2 linked regions of the Callithrix jacchus genome follow. The protein of the gene in region 1 binds, or shares a complex with, the protein of each later gene. Links are inferred from orthologs where the notes say so. Each region holds a gene or a part of one and is shown on either strand. Other genes may lie near its edges.

Region 1 (5,106 bases):
GGCCACGCCTGGCCTACACTGTGCTGGGAGCCCACCCCCATCCACCCACACAGCTCTGTTCTTGGCCTGCTGGGCTCGGGAGAGCTCTCTCTGCTGCCCAGGGCCTGAGTCACACCTGTAACATTTGAATGGGCACATCTCCATGTAGAAAAAATGCTTTCTTTTGCCTGGTGGTTCTGAGTTCCTAGATCTGAGGTGCCAAAGCTCTGGGGAAATGGAAAGTGGGTGCAGAAAGACTAGGTGCTGTGGGCCCCTCCTTTCCTAGCCCATGCCTCCTGCCCCTCCACTAACGTCCTGCTTCTACTTTCCCTACAGGTGGAGGACCACGCATAGGACCAGGACAGCCAAGAGGAAGCAGGATCTCCTCCAGGCTCATCAGCTCCGGGCGTTCTGGGGTAGGTCCTTGCCTTGCCTAGGTTGTGAAGGCCTCCTGGTAGCACCCATGCAACCTGAGATACCCGTTCTGGAGCTGGGTCAATAGAAGAGAACACAGGGCTTGGCCAGAAAAGCGGAAGGTTCACTGTTGCAGCAGGTTTAGCTTCTTAGGAGGTTACATTTCACGATGACAGCCATGGGACTGACAGCGTTAGGAGGGAGGTAGCCTGGGACTGTACCAGGTCGCCATCCTCATGAAGCTGAGGCTGTCTTCCAAGGGACAGCTGACAGCCCACCCCCACCCCACCCCAGCACTCAGGGGCAATCCTCAGTCCTGAGTGCAGACACGGCCACAGCTGCTCTTCACTCCCCTCTGGATGCACCAACAGCCAACAGATTTCCCTGGGATCCCAGTCTCCCTCCCTGCCCGAAACAGCCGGAAGGTCCTCGGCGTACACCCCACACCACCCTCTTGGGGCTCCAGACTCGTCATCCACTCTCCAAAGCCATCCTTCAGAATAACATGAGCTGTCTCCACTGGTGTGATACCATTTCAGACCTGCTCTGGAAAGGTAAGTCAAAAGGGAAAAAATAAAATTCATAAATCTTTTTCCTGGTCAAGGCTTCTTGGTGTGGCTCCAGAAACTCATTCTGGTCCTTGGGCTGCCCGGCACCGGCCCTTCCCCGAGAAGCCGAGTGCAGAGACCGGACCAGGCTGCCCTGCCTTCTCAATGGCAGTCACCTGGCTGCGTCCAGAGCAGCCTTGAGACCAGACCAGCAGATCTGGGAGCCACACAGGAAAGACCCCACCCTCGTGGTGAGTCAGGCCGGTTCTGCCCTATGGAGCAGCCAAGCCGTACCTGGCTTTCCTGGCAGTTCACCTGCCCTCTCTGGGCGTTGCTCAGGGTTTTCCTCCTAGGACCAAGGCACCACGTGAAGACGGCCCAGGACACCACTTCCCACCGGCTGTGGAGGCCTCTGGTTGTGCCGTTCTCCACATGGCCAAGGACAGATCTGGCTTCCACCCAGAGCAAAACCCATTCCAGCTACCCAGCCGAGTTGGGTCTTGCCCAGTACCAAACCAGGGTGGGGGGCTGGGGTGCACTCAGCGCGCCGCTGGGGCCATACAACTCTTCCTACTTTTGTCATATCTCAGCAGCTGTCCTGTCTCTGGTTCGTGTGGGGGCAGCTTCTCCTTCTATAAAGCACAGGGCCCACATCCAGTCCTGCAGCTGTTCTTTGCAGCCTATCTGTCCCGTTCAAGTTGGTCTAAGGAACGGGACCGGTTAAAGGCACCGCGGTCACGGCCCCTTGCCACCTGGGATGTAAGAACAAAGAAGCCGTGCTCTCTAAAATCCTGGACCAAGAAGAATCACAACAGAAGACGCTTTTCAGATATAGAAGTGTTTTTCTTTTGGCTCAGACACGGTGAGAAGGCACAGCCTCTTGTCCAACCTCTCAAAAGTCGCCCAGTTACGTCAGAGGGAGTCTCTGGCTGGCGGTGCAAAGGATCTATCCCTTAAATGACTACAGTTCCCAGATACCAGCTTCCAGGTAAGTTCCAAGTTTCCAGCCTGGAAGTCAGGCTGCGCTCACAGGTGTTCTCAACTGGGTCGCAGCTGAGAGCCGGCTAAAGGAGGAAAGTTCCTTTAATGAGGTTTGTAAAAAGCCCTTCCACCACCACAGCTGTCTGGCGCCTCGGCTCTGTTTCAGCCTCTCCAGGTGCTCTCCGGGGCTCCTGCTGCATATCTCGATGCAGGCTCGAGGCCCACGGCACGGGTCTCGGCGTGGCGTCCGTCGTTGTTCAGGGCGGGGCGGCGCCCCTGCGACGGGCAGCCCGCACCAGGCACTGCTGCAACACTGGATAGAGGCGCTGGCAGCCCTCGAGGCCAAGGCGTACGGCCTCCGCCCAGCTCTCGGTCAGGCCACCCTCCCCGCTACCCAGCAGCCCAGCCACCTGATTCAGGACGGGCATGAGTGCCACAGTGAGACCGGCGGCGGCGCGCTCCTCCTCGAGCCGCGTGGGGTCCAGTAGCCAGGTGGACGCGGGCCCCGGAGCGAGGCTCAGGCCGCAGCCCACCACCAGGTCGTACATCTCCACGCCCGCATCGGCCAGGGCGAGCGCAGCGGCGGTGAGCGCGGCGGCCAGGGCTGAGCCCCCGTCCTCCAGCAGCAGCGCAGACACCTCGAGCTGTGCACGCGGGTATCGGCCCAGGCGCACCGCTGGCTCCAGCGCCTCCTGCAGCGCCAGCGCCAGCTCACGCTCCTCACCGCCGCCCTGGGGAGCGCGGCGCCGGCGCCCCGCGAAGGGGGCGCGGCGGAAATCGCAGAGCAGTCGACCACGCAGCGCGGCCGGGGCCTCGCCACCCGCTCCGGCCGGGCCGCCCCCGCGCTCGCCGCCCTCGGCCTGGCGCGGGCCCGACACCGCGCACAACACCTTGGTGCCTCCTGCCTCCAGGTAGGCTGAGCCCTTGGCTTGGCTCAGCAACCCCGCGCGAGCGTACACGGGTCGCAGCCGCGTCGGGTCGCGAGCGGCGGGCGCATCCTCTTCGTCGGCCGCGTACAGCTGCGGCGGCTGTGATTCCTCCGGGCCGCGTATACGGCGGTGGTCCCCAGGCATCACGGCGCCTGGCGTGCGACCTGCTTCCGGCCGCTGCTCCACCACGCACACCAGCTCTTCCGCTGCTTAAAGATGCGCGCCTGCGCGAAGGATGTCGGGGAGCAGCCGGCTTCGCTATAGCGCCCTCTGAAGGCCTGGAGGGAGAACGGCCGGCGTCCTCAAAGCCTTGGTGCCGCTAGTGCAGGGCATGTGGCGTTCATACATACAACGGGGGCGGGGGGCGGCAGTTAGAAGAAAGAGGCTTCTCTGCTTCCACCCCTCATTTTCTGTTGAATTATGAACACCTCCCTCTATGTCACCTATTTGGCTTCCATCGCCACAAACGGTTGAGGCAACCACAGGGGCTACTCCCAAAATTCAGAGTTCTGGGGCTAGACAGTGAATACAGCAGCAGCCAGCAGGAGTCACAGCATTTATTCTAGACAGCAGGGGCCACAGGCTGTGGAAACGGCGCGCCCCCATTGGGAATGGGTAGAGATCCTGCGGCGTCAATTATTGCACATGGTCCTTTATTCTCTGCAGCGAAAATGATTCCCATTTGCTAACCCAGACAGCTCAGGTCTGGAGAGCTGTCCGCTCCAGATGCCTATCGATGCACAACAGCAATGCTGGGGTACTCAGGGCAGACATATAAGGAATACTGGGTCACAGGACCTCTTCCAGTTACCGTGGGGTTAGGAAGATGGTGGGAGCTCTTTAAAGGTCCCAAGATTCTAATGTTCTTAGAGCAGAGGAGGAACTCCTGGCTGGACCTATGGATCCAGTGCCAAACTCCTCCTTCCCCACCTCAGTTCTTCACATCCCCGAGGTGCAGCTGGGCAAAGGAAGTGGCCAGCTGCAGCGCCTCCTGCAGGCAGCCAACGTTCTTGCCTGTGGCCTGCGCAGACACATCCTTGCCACCACCCTTACCATCCATCAGGCCTGATACCTGCTGCACCCACTCGCTGGCTTTTAGGCCCCTATTGGCTGCATTCTGGAAGAAAAGAAGGGAAGGGGGAGTTAGGACACAAGATAAATGAGGAATGGAGGAAAAGAAATGCAGGAGCCATCCCCCACTCCTGCCCAGGGTGGTGATGCTGGCAGCCGAGACACGCTTAACAGCTGGTAAAGGGGGAAGTCATAGCCACAGCCAGGAAAGGACAGAGTGGCAAAGCCAAGTATCAACCAGACATCTTCACCAATGAGAAGGCCGGGGTAAAGGGCAACAGGTGTCTAGTTTCAAATGCCGATTGTGAACACACAGGCCTCAGGAATAAGCTTAAGACCTACACTGCCCCCCTGGTGTGAAAGGTCGTAGGCAGTTCTGACCTGGGGGACTTGACACAGGCACGTGATTTTGCCAGCCTCATTATCCACAGTGAAGAGCATGGCAGACGTCTGAGGGGAGTGCATCTTGAAGAGCTTCAAAGCTTCATTCAGGGCCTGCGGGGGGTGGGAAGAGCTGGCTCAGGCCACGGTGCTGGAGCAGGTACCCTGCTCTCCACTCAGGTGAGAGCCTGCAGTCCACAGCAAGACCGCCACACACCCCCAACCCCACCCAAGCGTGCCCCACACATGCAAGGAGCTGCTCCTCTTCCCACCCAGAGCCAGATCACCCCAGGGCTCAGTCCCACCTAAATCCCAGATAGGGGGCCCCAGATAACCCCTTGGCTAAGAGCCACAGAGGACGCGTATCAGCCACCAGAGGGCTGCTGAGCCCCAGGGTAAGGGCCCCGGTCCCTAGGTTACCTTGGCTGAGGCACCACTCTCCATCTCCAGGATGACAAGGGGCTGGTTGGGGTTGCTGTCAATAAGCTGCTTTGTCTTCTCCAATACCTGCAGGAGAAAAGTCCAGAAAAACAGCAGGCTCTGAAACCCAGGCCCAATCCTGCTGGCCTTTGCCTAGAAACCGCTCTGGCCACCGGCACTGCCAGGACTCACTCGCTTCTGGACATCAGCTTTGCTGGCGCGGTCCAGGTCATCCATGACCTTCTTTAGGGATTTGAGAGTCTCCCGCAATTCGTCCTTCTGCCACTGGGGGATGACTGCGGTGGCCAGCACCTAGAACCAGAAGACCATATGAATCCGCGCCACAAATTGCTGGGATGTCAGGGTTCAGTCCCCTCAACCCT
Region 2 (5,106 bases), on another chromosome or scaffold:
GGCTAACCCTTGGGTCAAGGCATTTGTGGCTTGAGAGTAACATAGGAATGCCTTAGTACACAGTTGAGAGTTGGAGTACAGATTCATTTATAGCCCAGAGCAGAAGACATTAGAAACTTTAGGAAATAGTAGGAAAAAGAGGTTACAGAATGCTGCTAAGACATAAATCTCACTATTCTAGATGAGTTCTAGTAAGTTTTTTGGTGATTCTCTTGGAATTTCTTGGTATACAACTATATACTGCCTATAATCATGGATAATTTTTTTCTTTTTTTTTTTTGAGATGGAGTTTCACTCTTGTTGCCCAGGCTGGAGTCCAGTGGCACGATCTCGGCTCACTGCCACCTCCGCCTCCTGAGTACAAGTGATTCTCCTGCCTCAGCCTCCTGAGTAGCTGGGATTACAGGCACGCGCCAACATGCCCAGCTAATTTTTTGTATTTTTAGTAGAGACGGGGTTTCACCATGTTGACCAGGATGGTCTCGATCTCTTGACCTCGTGATCCACCCGCCTCGGCCTCCCAAAGTGCTGGGATTACAGGCTTGAGCCCCCGCCTGGCTGAAATTCCCACAAAAATGTTACATAATAGTGGCCATGCTTGTTTTCTTCTATTTTAAGTGAATAGCTGCATTTGCTCTTTGAGCATGGTATTGGCTGTTGGTGTAAGACAGATAGTTTGAACCTCATCTTTTATCAATCTCTCCCTTGGTCATGATGCTTCAGCTCTCCTGGCCTTCTTTCAGTTTCTCTGACTTACTAAATTCTTCCCACTTTTGGATCTCTCTTCAACCCGTTCTTTCTACCAGAACTACACTCTCTCCACCCACCCAACTCTTACTTACTCTTTAGATGATTCAGCTTAAATGTCACTTCTGCTGACTAGGGTGGGTTTGGTTGTTACATGTTTTCAAGGTGCCCTGTAATATTCTTTTAAGCAGTCACCAAATATGTAACCATATACAATTTAAGCATTTATTTTACAATTTGTGTCTGTGTCCTTTGATAGCAGAAACCAAGTCAGCGCTGTGCCTGACACATGAAAACACTCAGATGGTATCTGTGAAGTGAAGAAACTCAGGACTGTTAAGGACATTCCCAAGAATGACTGAATAGAAAGCCCCTTGAATCAGACAGCTTAATTTACTTACTCAAAGCAGAATCAAGGTCTAGTTAGCTAGAACCTATGTGTTCTAATTCTGAATCCTCTATTGTGCTCCTTCAAATATTGCTTATGCGATCCTGAGCTAATCCTAGATCAATTTCTGATTTTTTTTTTTTTGAGACGGAGTTTCGCTTGTGTTACCCAGGGGCTAAAGTGCAATGGCGCTATCTCGGTTCACTGCAACCTCCGCCTCCTGGATTCAGGCAATTCTCCTGCCTCAGCCTCCTGAGTAGCTGGGATTACAGACATGCGCCACCATGCCCAGCTAATTTTTTGTACTTTTTAGTAGAGACGGGGTTTCACCATGTTGACCAGGATGGTCTCGATCTCTTGACCTCGTGATTCACCCGCCTCGGCCTCCCAAAGTGCTGGGATTAGAGGCTTGAGCCACCGCGCCCAGCCCGATCAATTTCTAAAACTAGAAAGTTTGGTATTATGCATTCAACAAACATTTATTGAGGAGCTGCCTTGTGCTAGATACTGAATGTATGGTGGTAGGGCCTGCTTTCATGGAACTTAGATTCAAGCAGTGGAGAAGTCTGGTGGGAATCATATACCTGAGTTTCTAATCATATGCTGACATAAATGCTTGGAATAAAAGGAACAGAGGTCTTTGTGAGTCTTAAACAAAACAAACAAAAACAAAACACCCCACAAAACCCCTTTCCTCAATTAGTGGGTCCAGAAGGGCTTCTCTGAGAAGTTGATAGTACAGAAGCTATCTAAAGGAGGTAGGAATTAAATGGGCCTAGGAAGACAGAAGCGTTCCAGATAGATGAATGTTACAAAGGCTCTGTAGCAGGAGAAAGCTTGGCACCTTAGCGACATTGAGAGAAGCTAGTATGTTATAAATTTTTTAAAAAAGGGCAAGCAGAGACTGTGATTATAAATTTTAAAAACAGAAAAGACAGTATGACTAGATTGCGTCAGTGAGGTGGAGATAGTGGCGCAAGATAAAGCCGGAGAGATAAGCGACATTCATACAGTATGCAACTCACTGCTGGGCTGGGCTGGGTTACTGAGTTCACATCTGCTTTTGTCCCAACCTCCCTCCCCAAGAGTCAGCAGCACAACCAAGCGAGATCAACACAACTAGTTTGTGGTGTCCAAGTGCACAACGGCGGCGATCACGGCTAGAAGAAACTAAGACCAAGGTTGTACCGGTGAGGCACTAAAGACACGTCCGCAGTGGCCATGCCTAAGGACTGGAACTTAATGAAAGCCTAAGTGAAAAGAGAGAGAGGAGACGGCAAGCCGCTCCCTTTACCGCGCCGTTCTCGCTGCTCTTCATCAGGCAGCCGGCAAGCGACGAAAAGATGTAACCGTGGCGGGTGTAGGTGCCACTGCCCGGGCTGCCCTCCTCCAAGTTACACAGACGTTCGCCTGCAGAAAAAATGCTCTATCAGTCACTGGCCCCCAGAAGCTATAGGCCGTCCAGCCTTCCAGCTTCGACCTCTTTCCAGGACTCTACGGGAAGCGCTCTCTTACCGGGAATGCAGTATCTGACGGGTGGCGCCATGATTGCCGCTGTCCAAACCCGGATGGAAACGAAGTCGACTTCTCATTGGCCAAACCCAGGCACAGTTCCGCAGTAAGACTTGCGTCAATTGGTGTTCTTTATCACGTGATCTGTAGGAGCGCCTCCTTGCGGGTAAACTCAATTTCCCAGATTACCCCGGGACAAATCCGGGGGCGGAACTTCAGAGCTCCACGCTTGCGACTGCGCCTGTGGTTGAGGATGGGCTGGCGGCGGGTCCGGTTGCGCTGGCTGGCGCTGCGGGCTGCGTGCCATGGTGGGTTGGATTGAGCCCGGCCCGGCCGGGGCGCCGAGTCAGAAGGGGTGGCAGTGAGCGGCGGCAGAGGCTGCGGGGCTCGGTTTGGCTGACTGGGGAGTCGGCAGGCGGCAGGTAAGGGCGAAGCCTCGGCCCTTGCTCCCAATCCTAGTCCCTTTTTTTGGGTCGGGCACTGCCCTGAGGCCTTGTCTTGAGTCCGGGTTCCTGCTCTCTCCCCGCCCCGCCCTGCGGGGCCGTGTCTTCCTCCGCCGGAGCACACCTTCCGAGCAACCGTTAGGCATAGAGCCGGAAGGAAGGAGGTCAAGCGACCCCCTCCATTTCACAGATAGGGAACCTCAGATTCAGAGACAGGGTTTGGCTTGTCCAAAATCTTGAAGATAGTTAAGATAGAGCCCAAACTGGAACCCACGGTTTTTGACTTACAGACCGTCGCAGTTTCACCTCGTGGCTCTCATTGAGAAATAAAACCTTTTCCTGTTTGTTTGTTTGTTTTTTTAAATATATACGGGGTCTCGCTCTGTCGCCAGGCTGGAGTGTAGTGGCGTGATCTCGGCTCACTGAAATCTACGCCCCCTGGGTTCAAACAGTTCTGCCTCAGCCTCCCAAGCAGCTGGGATTACAGGCGTGTGTCACCGTGCCTGGCTAATTTTTGTACTTAGAGACAGGGTTTCACCTTGTTGGCCAGCCTGGTCCCGAACTCTTGGTCTCAGGTGATCCACCCGCCTCGGCCTCCCAAGGTGTTAGGATAACAGGCGTGAGCCACCGCGCCTGGTCCTTTTCCCGGTTTTTTAAACCGCAGCTTTCAGTCCTGCGTTCTGATCCTCTTCACGGCCCCCCATCCCTACTTCAGTGAGCTTTCTCAGGTTGAAAAAGTCGAGCTCTGGTTGTGTGGGCCCCTCATGAAAAGATGAGCAGCCCCAAAATAAAGTTGCTATTCTTTTTCTTCTCAGCGTGTTAGCCCAGAAGGGAGATCTGCACATGAATAAAATGCTACTCTTCATTGATGTCTGGTATCTCCTACTTGGAATTGCAAACATCCTAAGAGCAGCGTCTTTGATCTCAGTTGTTCACCTGACTTCTGATGGCGTTTGCCGTGTGTCCCTGTTCCCTCAGTCGACTTTCCCCTTGGGAAACAGATGGTGACTTAGAGCCATGGGAAGAAGGGAGGCTGTGGCCTGTAGTCTCCTCCAGTCTGGTGGCAGATCATGACTATGGCCTGTGGTGACTACTCTGAGGGATCACAGTACTCGGGGCTTCTGCTTGGGGTGGTAGTGAGGCTACACTTTGCCCTTCTTCCCCCCACACATCTTTCTGAATTTTGCTTTACCTCAGTGTCCTGAGATGAAAAGTCTATGTGTTCAGTTGTAGCCCACTTACTACATATATCATTTTCCTGGCATCCCCTACCCCATTAGCTAAAGGGGAGAGGCCCTAGCCTCAGACTTTGTTCACCTAAATCTGTATCTATGCATTTAGGAGTTTTTTATTTTTCTTCTTATTTTTTTTTTGAGATGGAATTTTGTCCCTCTTGCCCAGGCTGGAGTGCAATGGCATGATCTGACTCTCCACAACCTCCACCTCTCAGGTTCAAGTGATTCTCCCACCTCAGTCTTCCATGTAGCTGGGATTACAGGCATGCACCTCCATGCCTGGCTTATTTTGTATTTTTAGTAGAGACGGGGGTTTCTCCATGTTGGTCAGGCCAGTCTCAAACTCCCGACCTCAGGTGATCTGCCCGCCTTGGCCTCCCAAAGTGCTGGGATTATAGGCATGAGCCCCCATGTCCGGTGTCTAGGAGCTTTTCACATAGTTGGGCTGATTTCTGGTTGAACTTGTTTTAAAAAACAACTTCTAGCTCCTAAGTGCTATGATGTTAATAATAGTTTGTATTTCTCTTTATTAATCAGGAAGAATGATAGCAGCAGACACTTATTTAGTGTTATCACATTGGCAGGAGTGTCCTTGTTGGTATTTGTAGGACTGATAGACATCTGGCTGGACTTTCCACTTCTGCATCCCTCCAGGTCATTCATTCAACAGATATTTATTGAGTACTTCCATGAGCCAGGTATTGTGCTAAGTGCTTTATAAACATTTCATTTACACTTACCAAGTACAGTTTGCCCTTCATATCTTCGAGTTTCACATCAA

What was found. Proteins that work in one complex are often made in the same cells at the same time.
Region 2: EXOSC6 (region 1) and EXOSC1 share a complex: the UniProt entries of both Homo sapiens proteins name them as parts of the RNA exosome core complex. The link is inferred for Callithrix jacchus from reciprocal best matches to the Homo sapiens genes EXOSC6 and EXOSC1.

What each region holds. Positions count from the first base shown.
Region 1 is NC_133521.1:31,650,842-31,655,947, reverse strand, and holds EXOSC6 (exosome complex component MTR3), read right to left. Parts: upstream 3,041-5,106; 5' UTR 2,996-3,040; coding exon 2,180-2,995; 3' UTR 517-2,179; downstream 1-516. Other genes in the region: AARS1 (alanine--tRNA ligase, cytoplasmic), read right to left, coding at 3,783-3,968, 4,304-4,417, 4,724-4,810, 4,916-5,035. UniProt on the Homo sapiens protein: Non-catalytic component of the RNA exosome complex which has 3'->5' exoribonuclease activity and participates in a multitude of cellular RNA processing and degradation events.
Region 2 is NC_133513.1:90,266,137-90,271,242, forward strand, and holds the start of EXOSC1 (exosome complex component CSL4), read right to left. Parts: upstream 2,702-5,106; 5' UTR 2,682-2,701; coding exon 2,651-2,681; intron 2,546-2,650; coding exon 2,430-2,545; intron 1-2,429. Other genes in the region: palmitoyltransferase ZDHHC16, read left to right, coding at 4,037-4,176, 4,863-5,023. UniProt on the Homo sapiens protein: Non-catalytic component of the RNA exosome complex which has 3'->5' exoribonuclease activity and participates in a multitude of cellular RNA processing and degradation events.